2 linked regions of the Lytechinus pictus genome follow. The protein of the gene in region 2 interacts with the protein of the main gene of each other region in a pairwise test. Links are inferred from orthologs where the notes say so. Each region holds a gene or a part of one and is shown on either strand. Other genes may lie near its edges.

What was found. The genes of interacting proteins can lie anywhere in the genome.
Region 1: the proteins of leucine-zipper-like transcriptional regulator 1 (region 2) and gamma-tubulin complex component 4-like interact in binary tests that used the Homo sapiens proteins (3 or more experiments, as listed by UniProt). The link is inferred for Lytechinus pictus from reciprocal best matches to the Homo sapiens genes LZTR1 and TUBGCP4.

The regions. Positions count from the first base shown.
Region 1 is NC_087246.1:1,561,855-1,569,677, reverse strand, and holds the start of gamma-tubulin complex component 4-like, read left to right. Parts: upstream 1-4,790; 5' UTR 4,791-4,924; coding exon 4,925-5,002; intron 5,003-6,640; coding exon 6,641-6,782; intron 6,783-7,677; coding exon 7,678-7,790; intron 7,791-7,823. Other genes in the region: replication factor C subunit 2-like, read right to left, coding at 4,402-4,505. UniProt on the Homo sapiens protein: Component of the gamma-tubulin ring complex (gTuRC) which mediates microtubule nucleation.
Region 2 is NC_087246.1:29,177,743-29,185,523, reverse strand, and holds the start of leucine-zipper-like transcriptional regulator 1, read right to left. Parts: upstream 3,035-7,781; 5' UTR 2,844-3,034; coding exon 2,722-2,843; intron 1-2,721. UniProt on the Homo sapiens protein: Substrate-specific adapter of a BCR (BTB-CUL3-RBX1) E3 ubiquitin-protein ligase complex that mediates ubiquitination of Ras (K-Ras/KRAS, N-Ras/NRAS and H-Ras/HRAS).

The sequences.
Region 1 (7,823 bases), about 28 Mb from region 2:
TCATATACACCCGTTTAAGTGTTATGCCCCTGCACAGACTCGTCTACATTGATTTCGATATTATAAGCGTCATTATAAAATTTAACAAAAAGAACGCCTTGAATAAAGGCCAAAAAGCCTAGAGACTCGTGAGCGTCATGTGACAACTCGCCCTGGATTTGCATGTACAGGATCCTATGGTGACAACAGCTGTCGCAAGAGTTGGCCAGAAGAGGGGATGAAAACACAAAATTTGGAAAAAAACGGTGAGTACCCATTTTACATTATAAATATAATTAAAATTAGTAAACATGGTAAATTAACAATAACATATAATAAATAAGTTAGACCTAAATTTAGGCCGTAATTTAGAGGAATGGGCTGGAAATTCAAGGCCAAAACGTACTCGTTTGGAGTCGCCGCCTTTTTTAACACTGCTTTGAGTTTGAATAGGGGTGTCGCCTAGAGTGCCCTGGGGCCTGTTGCATGAAATGGTCTTTCGTAGAACCATTCTACGTAAGAACGAGATATCGCTCAACTGTTTCACAAAGCCAATTTGGGCGATACGAAGAATGGTCCTTGGAAAGACACCTCCAGACATGTCCTACGTAGGCATGATCTTCTTTGCACACCGCCTGCCACCGTCGGCATTGAGAGAAAATGCGTTTACGGCAAGCCACACTGACATATCACCTTTAAACATTTTTTGGGTTGCACACTGATGCATTTTATCTGGGATGGCGCCAAGTTATTTTTTATATGGGGGCTAGTTGTCATCAATTGCAGGTCGTCTTTTTGCACGGCAAGACGACCAAAAACAGATGTCATTTTAACTTCTCCAGGCTTTATATGTCCGGGGGTAATGTAGGCCCCAATATTTTTTTTTAATTAATATGTTTTCTTTTATGGTCCGTCCTATCCCCACACCATTTCCATTATTTTTTTTGTTGAAATATCGAAATGGGCGGCACTATCTCTCTGACCCCTCATGCTTTCTCATTACAGATAATTAAACAACAGGAAAACAAATTTCTTTAAAAGAAATTATGTAAGGTAAAAAAACGTGTTTATAACGTTCAGCAAAAAAAAAAACGATACAAAACTAAAATGTTTAACATGGTAAATCATTCATTTATTTTTATTTCATTTTCATTATGATCATTTTTTTTTGCTGAGATTAATTTTAATCAATGAAAATTAATTGTCGGATTTGGGCTTAACTTGAGATGTACTGAAACAGTGAAACAAAACAAAAAATCTGCAGTAACAAAATACCTAATTGAATTTAAGATACAGATTAGGCCTATAGCTTACGAATCCATCACAATCATTACAAATGAAGATAAGCTAGTTCATTAAAGAAAAGATTATGGAAATGAGTCCATACAAAGAGGCGCATTTTCACTTTAGGGTAGGCCCCTTTAGGCCCCTACTAAAATGTTAAAGCAATAATGTATTCTCTACTCCTCAACTTTGAAATGTTGAACATATATATTTTTTATATTCTTAAACCTTATTCTTATATAAGCTTCCATAAATTAAGTGATCAACTTTAAAGATTACCAACGTTTATGATCATTGTAATATTAGCATTATTTCTGTAAATAGTATTTTTTCCATTGCGGATTGCACACATTTTTCTATGTTTTAATTGTTATTGCAAAGCACTACTTTATCCACTTGGACATGTTTGCAGCAATTTTCATATTTTCCTTGTCTTCGGTTACTCATCATGCAACTGAGGTATGTTTATACTCTAAACACTCACATTTGTATTTCTTGCGTTATATCTGACAAATAAAATAAATAAATTAGATTTTTCACATGCAGCCTCTCATATTTTCCTTTTTAGTCTCATACAATCAGACACTGTTGATTTTGTTTACTCCATTCAAACCCTATTTTTACCTCAACAGATAACATATTAACGCATAATTTGCAAAATCATCATTATATATATGTTTTCTATAATAAATCAGTATATTGAACTAATAAAATGTCGAAATTACTTAGTTAAATCAATTTTTATGTCGGACAAGGGTCTCTTTCGTAGAAATATCAATGAAAGGTGTCTCTAAAAGGACACCGTGTTCTAAATAAGTGAAATAATGAAAATTTCGATTTTATCCAGTTATGTTTGTGAATCTTGAAAGTTTTTTCTCTTTTTACCTCATAAAGTACGCTCCATACATCAATTCTACAATCAGTAATAAATAAAACATTATTTGATCCCCTTTTATTGAAATATATGATTTTATGAAAAGTCATCAATCCGAAATAAAAGGTTCAGGTGACGATGAAGACTAAATATTTTTCCGATACTATCGATATCAAACGATGTCGCGGACTTGAAAGACAAAATTGCCTTCGTGAAACAGGGGCATGTTGCATGACGAGATGAGCGATACGTAGGAACGTCCTAGGACCATTCTTCCGAGATAGGAAGATTGGCGACAAATCAGCGCTTTCCGTTTCACGAATGCAATTATTTTGTCTTTCAAGTCCGTGACATCGTTTGATATCGATAGTATCGGAAAAATATTTAGTCTTCATCGTCACCTGAACCTTTTATTTTGGAATGACGGCTTTTCATAAAATCATATATTTCAATAAAAGGGGATCAAATAATGTTTTATTTATTACCGATTGTAGAATTGATGTATGGAGCGTACTTTATGAGGCAAAAACAGAAAAAACTTTCAAGATTCACAAACATAACTGGATAAAATCGAAATTTTCATTATTTTCTTTATTTAGAACACAGTGTCCTTTTAGAGACACCTTTCATTGATATTTAAACGAAACAGACCCTTGTCCGACATAAAAATTGATTTAACTAAGTAATTTCGACATTTTATTAGTTCAATATACTGATTTTTTATTGAATACATATATATAATGATGATTTTGCAAATTATGCGTGAATAAGTTATCTGTTGAGGTAAAAATAGGGTTTGAATGGAGTAAACAAAATCAACAGTGTCTGATTGTATGAGACTAAAATGGAAAATATGAGAGGCTGCCTGTGAAAAATCTAATTTATTTATTTTATTTGTCAGATATAACGCAAGAAATACAAATATGAGTGTTTAGGGTATAAACATACCAGTTGCATGATGAGTAACAGAAGACAAGGAAAATATGCAAACATGTCCAAGTGGATAAAGTAGTGCTTTGCAATAACAATTAAAACATAGAAAACGGTGTGCAATCCGCAATGGAAAAAATACTATTTACAGAAATAATGCTAAATATTACAATGATCATAAACGTTGGTCATCTTTAAAGTCGATCACTTAATTTATGGAAGCTTATATAAGAATATAAGGTTTAAGAATATAAAAAATATATATGTTCAACATTTCAAAGTTGAGGAGTATAGAGACTACATTATTGCTTTAACATTGCATAGGGGCCGAAAAGGGCCTACCCTACGATTTAAAATGCGCCTCTTTGTATGGACTTTCCATAATCTTTTCTTTAATGAACTAGCTTATCTTCATTTGTAATAATTGTGATGGATTCGTAAGCTATAGGCCTAATCTGTATCTTAAATTCAATGAGCTATTTTGTTACTGCAGATTTTTTGTTTTGTTTCACTGTTTCACATCTCCAGTTAGCCCAAATCCGACAATTAATTTTTATTGATTAAAATTAATCTCAGCAAAAAAAAATAATTATAATGAAAATGAAATAAAAATAAATGAATGATTTACCATGTTTAACATTTTAGTTTTGTATCGTGTTTTTTTTGCTAAACGTTATAAACACGTTTTTACCTTAGGCCTACATAATTTATTTTAAAGAAATTTGTTTTCATGTTGTTTAATTATCTATAATGAGAAAGCATGAGGGTCAGAGAGATAGTGCCACCCATTTCGATATTTCAAAAAAAAAATTAATGGAAATGGTGTGGGGATAGGACGGAGAATAAAACTTAAAAGGAAAAATATTTATAAAAATATTTGGGCCTACAACATTACCCCCGGACATAATGCCCGGAGAAGTTAAAATGACATCTGTTTTTGGTCGTCTTGCCGTGCAAACAGACGACCTAAAATTGATGACAACTAGTCCCCCATATAATAACTTGGCGCCAAAAATGTTTAAAGGTGATATGTCAGTGTGGCTTGCCATAAACGCATTTTCTCTCAATGCAGACGGTGGCGGGCGGTGTGCAAAGAAGATCATGCCTACGTAGGACATGTCTGGAGGTGTCTTTCCAAGGACCATTCTTCGTATCGCCCAAATCGGCTTTGTGAAACAGTTGAGCGATATCTCGTTCTTACGTAGAATGGTTCTACGAAAGACCCTTTCATGCAACAGGCCCCAGGCCCCTGGGCCTGGACCCAAATAATTCTAGAATTTCTACCAACAAATTTTATAGCTAATGGGACCAAGGGCGAAGGCTAAGTCACTTACCAAGGCATCTCATAGGAAGTCGATTTTCCAGCTCCCCCCGACTTTCCAGATTCTCCTGACTTGGATTTAGGATCCAAAGAAGTGCTAGATTTTACTTCATCCATTTTAATATGTACTTTAATTTATTTTTAACTAATAAAAACGTTTATGATATTAAGAGATAACAGTAGCTCCACACAAGTTTCGCGCGATTGTGAAATACAGGCTCGTACTAAAAAGTAGATTTTATTAGGTACTTTAAAATAAAATATGAAAATAAATAATAAAAATTAAACTGCAAGACGAAAATAAAATAAATTCTACAACTATAAATTATTTTAAAGGAACAAAGAATCATCATACATCTTTATAAATCAATATAAATTATTCAAAGAACAACTTCTTCTAGTAGGCAATAGACTCTATCTGCAGACAATTCATTAACCTAATGTGAAACGGGCCTGATAAATATTCAATTCCGACTCTGCAGAAGTCTGTATCCATGATTTTTCTCTTCGATTCGATCATCTAGATTGCAACCAAGATGTTACATGACTTACTGATGGCTCTGAATGGATTTCCTGGGGGTATTTTTATGGAACATGGGCACAGTGATATACAGGTAATTAGACTCCAGTCCCATTCATTCCAATTGATGTTAAGCTAATTTCGAATGAATGAATGAATGAATGAACGAACGAATGAATGAATGAAGTACATTTATTTCCAATGATAAATAAAGCATCAATACATTTTAAGAACTTGAACAAAGCAAAAGAGGTAGCAACTAAGAAAGCACAGCTTGTGAATGTGATGAGTGACAAGTGAAAGGTGCTGGTAGGTTTTACTTTTATTTTTTTAGGTGCTTTGCTTCCTGTTTTAGATAGATGATCTAGGCCTAGGCCTACGTCGAAATGAAATTGAAAATGAAAGGTTGGAACTGTCTTGTGGTAAATATTCTTGTTCTTGTTCTTCTCCTTCTTCACTTCCTCATTTTGTTTTTCTTCTCCTCCCCTCTAGTGATTCTTCCCCTTGGGCTTGGCATTGTCTTCGGTCTTCCTCCTTTTTCCTCTTCCTTTAGCTCTTCCTCCTCTTCCTCAGGTGTCCCTCTTCATCTTCCTCCTACAGCCTACTCATCCTTTTTGTCTCCCTCTTCTTCCTCGTCTTCCTGTTCTCTTACTTCTCCGCTGTCTTCTTCTTTCTTTTCTTCTCTGCTCTTAATCTTCCTCCTCTTCCTCAGGTGTCCTCTCTGTCTTCCTCTTCCTTCTCCTCATCCTCTTTGAAAAAGTCTTTGTCTTCTTCTTCCCCTGCTCCCCCCTCCTGCTTGTTCTCACTTTCCTCTTCTTCTCCTCTTCTCTTTTTTTTCTCTTCTTCCTCCTCCTGCTCCTCCCCTTCTATTCCTTCTATTTCTTATTCTTTCTCCTCTTTCTCTATCTACTTCTTCCTCTTCTTCAATTTTTCTTCTTCCATGATTCTTTGAGTTAATCAAATTAAGATTATTGTATTGCAATTTTTGATCCGATTGTAAACTCTATTTAAAATCCTGTGCAATAATATAACGTTACCCACCACCCTTTTATGTGGAAAAGAAGTGAGCAAGTAAGTGATAGTTTGCAGTACTTAGAAACATTGTATTAAGCATTATATAAATGTTGTATTTTATTATTATTCATAAAGTAAGTAATGTTTGCCTGAAATTGGTTTAATTAAGACTGAATAAACTGTGCATTGAGAGTAGTAAAAAATCATTGATTTTTTTTTATTGAAATAAGAAAATGAATAAAAATTGCTTGGTCAGTGGTTTCAATGAGATTGGATTGGACCATAGAGATGAGATACATGGTGGGGCTAATGAAATTCACAGTTTTAATTCAGCCCATCGGCAAAATTTTAACTTTGTCAAAATTCATCATTTGCACAATCCTCTTATTATTTGATGAAATAAGGGCACCAACAGAATAAAATACTTTGAAAAAAGACCTTGCAGTTCATCCTCAATTATGGCAATCTTTGGAAAACATTATTTTTTTGGAACAATAAATTAAAGAAGAAATTAGAAAAACCTTCACACCTTAAATGAAGCCAGCAGTACGTGATTTGTTCATAAACAAACGGTATAATCTAAACTAACATTGTAATCTTGACCAGGAGTGGATCCAGGATATATCAGAGGCAGAGGCCCAAGAAATTTTGGAAAGCATACTTGAATCTCAAGGCATGTATCTGTGTTTATTATCATATTTCTTTATTTTGCCTCTAGGTTGTTCCAGATCTTCCTTTTATCCATGTGAGTGAAGTCAGTGTACTCAACAGAGTTTGTCGTTTAGGGGCTATTTATAAGAATCTCCAGACCTTCATCAAAAGATACAGTGGCAGTCCTTACTTAGGGAAACATAATCAAGGTAAACTTATACAAGACAGAAGGATTTTTTTTCTATTTTGAGGTGCTGTTATGCTTTGACCTACATTGAAATTCAGTTTGTAGACTTGGCACACCCCTCTGTGAGAAAATTATACTTCCTCCCAGTTTGATCTTGTTAGCAATAGAGAACAAAATAGCAATCATTGGATTGTGCATTCAATCTCATAATAATAGTAATAATAATAATAATACTCAATATTTATAACGCGCTTTTCCCACATGGCCCAAAGCGCTCACAATTTCAGTTAACATATTTATACAAACAAAAAAGCAGAATGACATATTAAATGAAGGCAGTTGCCTAGAACAAAAGAGTTTTAAGGGACTTCTTAAAGGACTCGATTGTTGTGGATTGTCTTATTGTGAGAGGGAGTTTGTTCCATTCCATAAAAGCTCCTATTAAGTATTATTAGATACAATAGATCTTTTCAGAAATCAATCTTTCAGTTAGAAAGTTGATTTGTTTCAGGGAATTTTTATTATATTAGATAGGGAAGGGGACCCGAGATAAACAGAAATAGCTGGGCATAAATATTAATAATGAAACCTTTAGAAAATTCTTTAAATAGAAAGATTTCTTTCAACTAACAAGTTGTCCTTTTTGGCAGTGTTTAGTATTAGGTGTATTAGAAAAATAAGGTAAGTAATCTCCTACAATACATCTCATTAGCATTAAATTGGGAACTATATATGCTATTGTTCAGTCGAATCAACACTGAACATTATTGTTCTGCAACTTATATAAAATAATTACTAAAATAAATTCTCTCACAAACAGTCATGAAGTTTGGTTTCCTTTGTTTTAATAAATCATGAATATGAGCAAATAGTAAGATTGGTCACACTTAATGTGAAATGTTCTTGTCTCTTTTCAGAAATTAAGCCAGTGGATAGACTCCCTGATGGATTGTATCTCAGGACATTCTGTTCAGGTTTAGACAAGGTCCTGGAACCATACAGAAAAGCTCTATTAGACCTGGAACAGGATGTAGGTATTATTGCTTGATATCCACTTAGTCTA
Region 2 (7,781 bases):
GTAACAGTGAAGAAAGAGAATTATATTCACACGTAATAAATCACCAACATGATTTCTTTTTAAACCTATAATACACATCTAGACAGTGGTCAATAACATTCAATAAGCAATGAAGGTATAAACTTAAAGGGGAAAGAAAGAAGTTGCAGTAAACAATTACTATATGATAAAGTCTTTAAAATCAAGGTTAAATGCCACGATATTATCAAAGATCTAGTTCTGGTACATTGATATAAACTTATCTCTAAGAAATCATTGAATCTTAGCTGAAAACCGGTAATTCTGATGATCACTTACACAAAAGTACATACATGTATGTGGGAAAGTGTATATTTTTCATAAAAATACCATACATATTATGGAATTCCTTGCTTATTTTGCTCATTTTTCAGCAATTCCAGATATTTTTTCTGAGCTATTTGGTACATATTTTTTTATTTATACATATTCAAACACTTGGGTGGTAATTTTATTAGATACTGTTTGAACTCATTTTGAGATCGTTACCACTGCTGGTTCATGTATTTATCTTTAACATTGCAGATTACATTCTGCATAGACCAAAAGCTTCAGTCTCTGTATTTTGGTTGTTCCGCTGAACTACGTTGGCTCCACTCACCATACATAGACTGAAGGGGATGGGGCCCCGTACCTACAGCCAACGTATAGTGAACTAGCGTTTTATAGATCGCGATTTAAAACTGTTTTTTAAGCAAAATTGAAAGTTTCATGGTTTCCATTATCAGGGAAATATATATAACTTAAGTAATTGCATACCTTGGGCCGGAGTTATTGAAAAAAATCCTCTGGATGATTGAGAAATCTGTCATCTAAGACATTTTCACCTGACCTGACGGTTTTTCTTGCAAGTTGCCATCTTGAATGACGTCATTGTCGTTATTAACTTAATGTCTCGAATCGATATATCGCGATTATAACTAGTACTCGTACTAGTATAACTAGTATCGTTTATCTTCGGTTTCGTTCGCATATGGAGCAGATCGTATAATATCGAAAGCAATATCGATATCACATTCGTGATTGTTGACGTTCGTTTGTAAATATTTTATAGTTTGGCTGCCATTTTGAAAATTTTTATCGTGTTCAACCCAATTAAACATCGGTAAAGTATATTTTTCATGCCTTTTTCATCTATATCGTTTAAAGTATTTAAATGTTGGAATATCATCAATTAAAAGTTTGTTGTTTATACATCCTTAGATTGTAAATTCGATGTGTAAAATTACATCAAACTTTGGACTGTGAATTGACAAAAGGGAGGGAATGAGAACACATGCGAGCCCACACGTACACCCTACCGTCGGTAAATGGGGATTACAGTAAAATGTCAGAAATTGTTGAATAAATCCCCAGAAACGACGGTTATTCCTGTCTACATTCTGCAATGAAATAATAAATTTTGCAAATTTGATTCACACTGTCACACACCTTATTACAAAAATGTTTAAGTGAGTACTAATAAACTTTCATATGGTATGCAAAATTTGAGGTTGATGTCCATATTAAGTATTTAAAGTGTCTTTGTCATTATGTGTTCTGCTAAATCAAAGTCATTTTTCCAACGAATAAAGATCCTCAAAATCACAACTTTTCTTTTAGGGTTTTGATCCCAAACTTTTGCAATTGGGCTACAATATCCTTTAAACCCTTTTGGCAAACATTTTTATAGTTCAACACAAAATTACACTTTAAATTTATAAAAATATTGGCCAAAAGGGTTTAAAAGGATATATTGTAGCCCATTTACACAAGTTTGGGCTCAAAACCCTAAAGTTGTTATTTTGAGGAGCTTGAATCGTGGGAAAAATGATGGTGCGTGTACTGCAATGGCATGCCGTCTGCGTCCCTGGTTCTGTGGAGATTGGCTAGGCCCCTACGTACAATGTAGTAAAGGAGCCTCCTGGCTAGTCCGGCTACCGTGCTGGACAGCACCTCTACTGCTCAAAATCTCAGTCAAATCATTATGTTGGTGTGACCTTAATTCGTGCATTACCTAATTTTGTGCAGGGTCGAATATCTCAATATCTAATCAAAATCTTGAATAACTGAATATTACCAACAGAGAAAGCGACCCAAAATTACCTAGCATGGTAATTATTTTGAAGGTAGGGTCTCATTTTGTGAAAATATTGGCAAATTTTGTTACCTTGTGCGTCCACTCCGAGAAAATCTGAACTTCTCGAGTCATCTTCACATGCACCAAGAAATCGCTAGTTTGCAAGGAGAGGTCTCCAAAGAAGTAAATGTGATACCAACCAAATTTATGGCATTTTAACTTCCATCTGATACAATAACCTTACCTTGGTCTGCTTGATTTCTTTTCTAACGTTAAATCTTTGCAAAACAATTGTGCGCAAATTAAGGTTACATTTTTTTTAGTTTTAGCGTGCACTAGTCGATTGTCATGGAATTTTGAGATCACGATACCAGCAAAACCCTTGACCTACCGGCACTTTATAATTCTGTCAAGCAAATTTGACTTTAGTTTATGATCTTGCCCTTCTGCCTGATATTTATGATTTTAATGAATTTTATGTGAAATTCTTGATTGAAAATCAACTTTATAATTTTCAAAATATGCACAAATTATGGTCACCCCATCATAACTTTGTTTCGTCTGTTTCGCCCCATCCAGCTGGACTATGTCTTGCTTCAGTTCACCCCACCCCGCCCCGCCCCCTCCCCTAATTTCTGTCTCACCTTGCGCCAACAAACTCATCACACTCGGGCATCTGTCTCCAGCGATGCACGGTTTCATATGGGCCAGAGTCAATTGTCACGTCTTGCCAGCAGTGAGGCTCGTATTTACGACCATCTGCCATAGTTTATGACATAAATCCTGATGAAAACCTGGTCAACAATTGCTGTAGGATACCAATCACGTAAATTTGATCGCAGAGAGTAAAATTATGTGCTTTGAATGCATCAATTAATTCCAGTCCTGCAATATCATGAATATAGCACTGCTCAATTTTTGGTCAATGGGTGTCGCCATTTTATTTTCAGCCCTCTGGCGTCCACGATGAGAACAGTTTTTGACCGACCCTCGGCCTCCCGCGGCCTCCTCCTTGCATGCCTCAGATAAAAAAAACAAAAACAATAGGCCTACGGTACTTACCGTATCATACTAGAATAAGATCTAGATATGTCTATCATAAATTAGTATTAATGTATTATAAGCATACATCTCGATAAATGTCTTGCCATGGCTGGAATCTTTAAAAAAATATTGTAAATTTATTTCGAACAATGGTACAACAACTTGAATCATCCCTGGTGATCATAATTAAACAAGCTCTTTAAAAAAAATTATTAACGCGTTAAATTTCCTGAATAGGGATAAAAACAAAAAGTTAATTCATGACCTTTATCTTAATTTCAATAAATTACGGGATCTACTTGTCACACGTTAACGAGCAATGAACTTTGAGAAGACATAACATGAAAAATATAATCTAAACTTGTGATAGATTTTGACATAATATTCAGAAAATACCTAATTGCCGTTTCCTTTCCTTTTTATCCATTTTTGCCATAATGTTTGCTCACTCTTGGTGCCAGTGTGTGAATGCATCGAATTGTTTTCATCCACACTGCAAGCAGTGAGCAAGAGCGAGCGTCATGTTTTCAGTCCTTTTTAGCTACATCCAGTGGCGTACCGTGGGTCACGGCATTGGGGGGGGGCACCAGCAAAAATTTCGAGTCACTTAGGGAGCGCGCGAAGCGCGCTCAGTTGTCAGGTATACTGACCTAATAGAGATATTTAAGGACATGCAGTGCCATTAAACGGATATGTATCTCACTGATTAAATAGTGCGAGCTGAAAATTTTTGATATTCAGAGCTAAAAAGGGACATTATAAGCAATTTTTTTTTTGTAATCATGATACATAACTGTCTCGCTAAACAAACAATGCGAGCGCGAAGCGCGAGCTAAAATTTTCATATACATTGACCCTAAACAGGGAAATTTTAAAGACTATATTTTAGAATCCATTAAGAGTATAAATATCTCACCATAGTCATCTAATGCTCATGCCATCCTTTGCTGATTTTATTAGAATTACATCTAAACACAGATCATGAAGCACCTTTTGTAGTCATTGTAATCATGATTAAAATACGCATCTTACTAATCAAATACTGCAACTGCATTTCACTAACTAAATGATGCGAGCGTGAAGCGCGAGCTGAAAATTTTATATATTCAGATCAGAAAAATTTCATTTAAAGGACTGATTTCAGGAGTTCATGAAGAGCAGAAATCTCACCAATCCACTAATGCGAACGTTAGCACGGACAGGAAATGTTTTATATTAAGACCTTAAAATAGGGCAATCACTTTCAGTAGTCATGAAAAAGAAGAATATGTCACTACATAACACAATAATAACTCGAATTGCAAGGAAAAATATATTTGTTGTATATTGATTTGAAAACGGGAGGTTTTAGTACAACAGGATTATATATCTCGTTAAACAGTCTATGCGAGCACCATGAACAATTAAGACACAATGAAGCAAATAATGTTCCATAAAGTTATGAACAAATGCTTCTTATGTAATATAACACAATATAATATAACATTATAATGAACAATAATATATTCTTTCCCCACTACGTTTCTCTTCCTTTTTCCCTCTTTTTCTCATTTTCCCCTTTTTTTTTGCCAGCCGATTGGGGGGCACGTGCCCCCATGCCCCCCCGTAGTTACGCCACTGGCTACATCTGCATGCATGAAAAAGCAAATAATTTTATAAATATCATGAATGTTGAAATGTGTTACAATCAAACAGGCGTAGGCTATATTGTGATTTTTATCATTGTTTTATTTCCTGTAATTTCCTGAAATTACGGTACTTTATGGAGAAAGTCGCCCCAGAACTCAGTATCATCTTTTATCAATATCAAGTAAACATGGGCGGCAGAACCGGGGGGAGTGGCAGGTGGCACTTTCCCTACCCCAAAAAAATATTTTTTGAATAAATAAACAATTAATTCCTCACTGAGGAAAAAAAAATCCCTTTTTCAAAATGATACACCCTTTTTGAAGTAAAAAACATAATGCATTTTAGGTTGCAAAATCACACAATTTTTAGCACTCGCTTTGCGCTCGCATCAATTATTATTTAAAAAGGTATAGTACTCATTTTGTTATTGATTACAAAGAGCGCTTAGAATGTCCAGTTTTCAGGTTGGAATATTACAAAGTTTCAGTTCGCGCTTCGCGCTCGCATTCGATTGGTGAGATATGTATCCTTTTAATCAGTCACTACATGCAAACCTTAATTATCAGGAGCCTTTTTCTGGTCTTATATAAAACATTTCAGGTAGCGCTTCGCACTCGCGTCATCTTTAGTTAGATGCACAACTTTTTAATGATAATAAAAACTGCTTGGAATGTTTACTTTTCATGTCTTATTAATAAAAGCCTAAATACATATTTTGTCAATCAGAAATCACTTTAAAAAGGCTTTGCTCAACTTAATTACTACACTACAAAACACACAACTACTTCACGCAGCTTATGGTGAATATATATATGTATATATATATATATATAATGCCAATTTTGACATATAAGTGTCCTTTTTGGCTCCCCCATACGAAAATACGTTCCGCCGCCCCTGCAAGTAAATAACATGACCTTCAAAAAAGCATAATAATTTATGATAGTAAGAATAAATTCTACTTGTAATCTCAGCATATTTACATTTGTATAATATTTTGAGCGTCAATCATTCGAAACTGAACAATAAGAGATTTTCCAAAATACATCAAACAAATAGTAAATCCTATACAAATTGATGCTATAAATGACACCCTTATCACCTTGAACCCCCCCCCCCGGACAGTTGATATTGTGTTTTGGTCGATGTGCACTTGATGAATTCTATGAGATTATTCCTCAAAAAGGATTAGAAAACCAAAACATATCCTCAAAAAAATTCGCGTTCAATAATGTACCAATAATCTGTATAATCGACGGCAATAGAAACGATCAGTATTACGACAAATTTATCAATATATCCGTCGTATTTTTGTGTGATGAATACTTAACATAGACATTGAACAATAAATTGTGTCGGCTTGTCTTTATTTCATTGATATTCGTTATTTTTCTCATAGATAATTGCCGCTTATCAATCATGATTAATAAATCATTTTTTAAATTCATTCATGATCATACATAATAGGCTACAATTAAAGAGAATGATCCACCCCAAGAAAAAAAAATGTAAAAAAAAATTGTAAAATCAAACAAAACATAACACTGAAGGTTTATCAAAATCAGATAATGACCGTCTAGCAGCACTTTTTAGCCTTCTCGGAGCTGAAATAATGTCCGACCTTGCATATTTATCAGGATATTCATATATCACCCGTATCACCCATAATTCTCTTAAACAAAACCCCCTATTTTAGTACTCTCATGAGTCACAAGTCAACAATGTGAATATTTACCTCGCCGAAACTTATTGACCTTAGATGACCTATACAAGGGATATTGGTGATTAGTCTGCAAGCACAGACCCTGATTGAAACTTCAATCACCAAGTGGGTGTAAGACAAGACTACCACAAATGCAAATTCTGCCCAAAGTTGAGAAATGCACTCAGTGCACATCTCCATTATGCAGCCCCGATATGGGCTTAAAATTCAGACCACTTTTGATAAACTGCGGGCTCAGTGCCTGCAGGCAAAACGCCAATATGAGAGTTTGAGAAAAGGCTAAATCCGAAGTCTTGTGAAATCGATGAAAAGGGAGCCCAAAGATAATAACCCATGAAAATATAAACAAAGAAATGTAGTATTGGACATCGAAAGTGTGATTTAATTCAAATAGGGCATAATGAAAGGGAACAATGAACATATTGTTTGTTTTCCTAAGATTCATTTCGTAAAACAGGGCCGTATGGTGATGGGGGGGGGGGGGAGGACGTGTAAAAATTTTAGAAGAAACTCATAATCGAGGGGGTAAATAGACCAAGCTTGTCATTTGGGCGCTTTCGCATTTTCTAAAGTGAAATTGAAGGACATTGAGCACTCTTTTGGTGAATTAAGTGTAAAAAAATTCAGTAAAAAATTTAAGTGGGGGGGGGGGGGGGGGCAACTGCCCACTGCCCCCCCCCCCCCCCCCCCCCCCGCTGCGTACGGCCATGGGAGTACACTGGAAGATGATACTAGACATTGGATAATTGATAGGTAATTTTAAAAAAAATAATTTTGCAGCACACGCACAATCGAATGTAAATAGTTGACAATATTTTATTCACTTCTATAGAAACTGTAATGTAGGCCTATAATTATATATGAATGTAATTCATGATTGTGAGCCTAATCCTGTTAATTCGGGGTTACAGCCCCTTGTGCATGATAATCCAGATGTTTCATAATAGTGTTTTCATTAGAGGCCCGTACAGGTTAAACGGACATATTCATATAGATACATGTACATAATTATATATTCCTAGAATAATTAAAGGAAGCACAACTGAGAGAAAACGGATGGTTGTGCGTTGAACTTCCTTCCTCATTCATTTTGATTTATTGTTATTAAGAGTCTCAGAAGCACGTGAAAATTATTTGACACATCTTCCAGAATAATTCATTACTTCCTTCTCCTCTTCGTTATCTATCGACGCTCATGGCCATGGAGTGCTAATATGGGGAGGAGGGGGGGGGGGGTAATGTTAGGGGCCACTGTTATATGTCCCACATTTGACGACGATTCAGGGACAACCATACATGCATATGGTT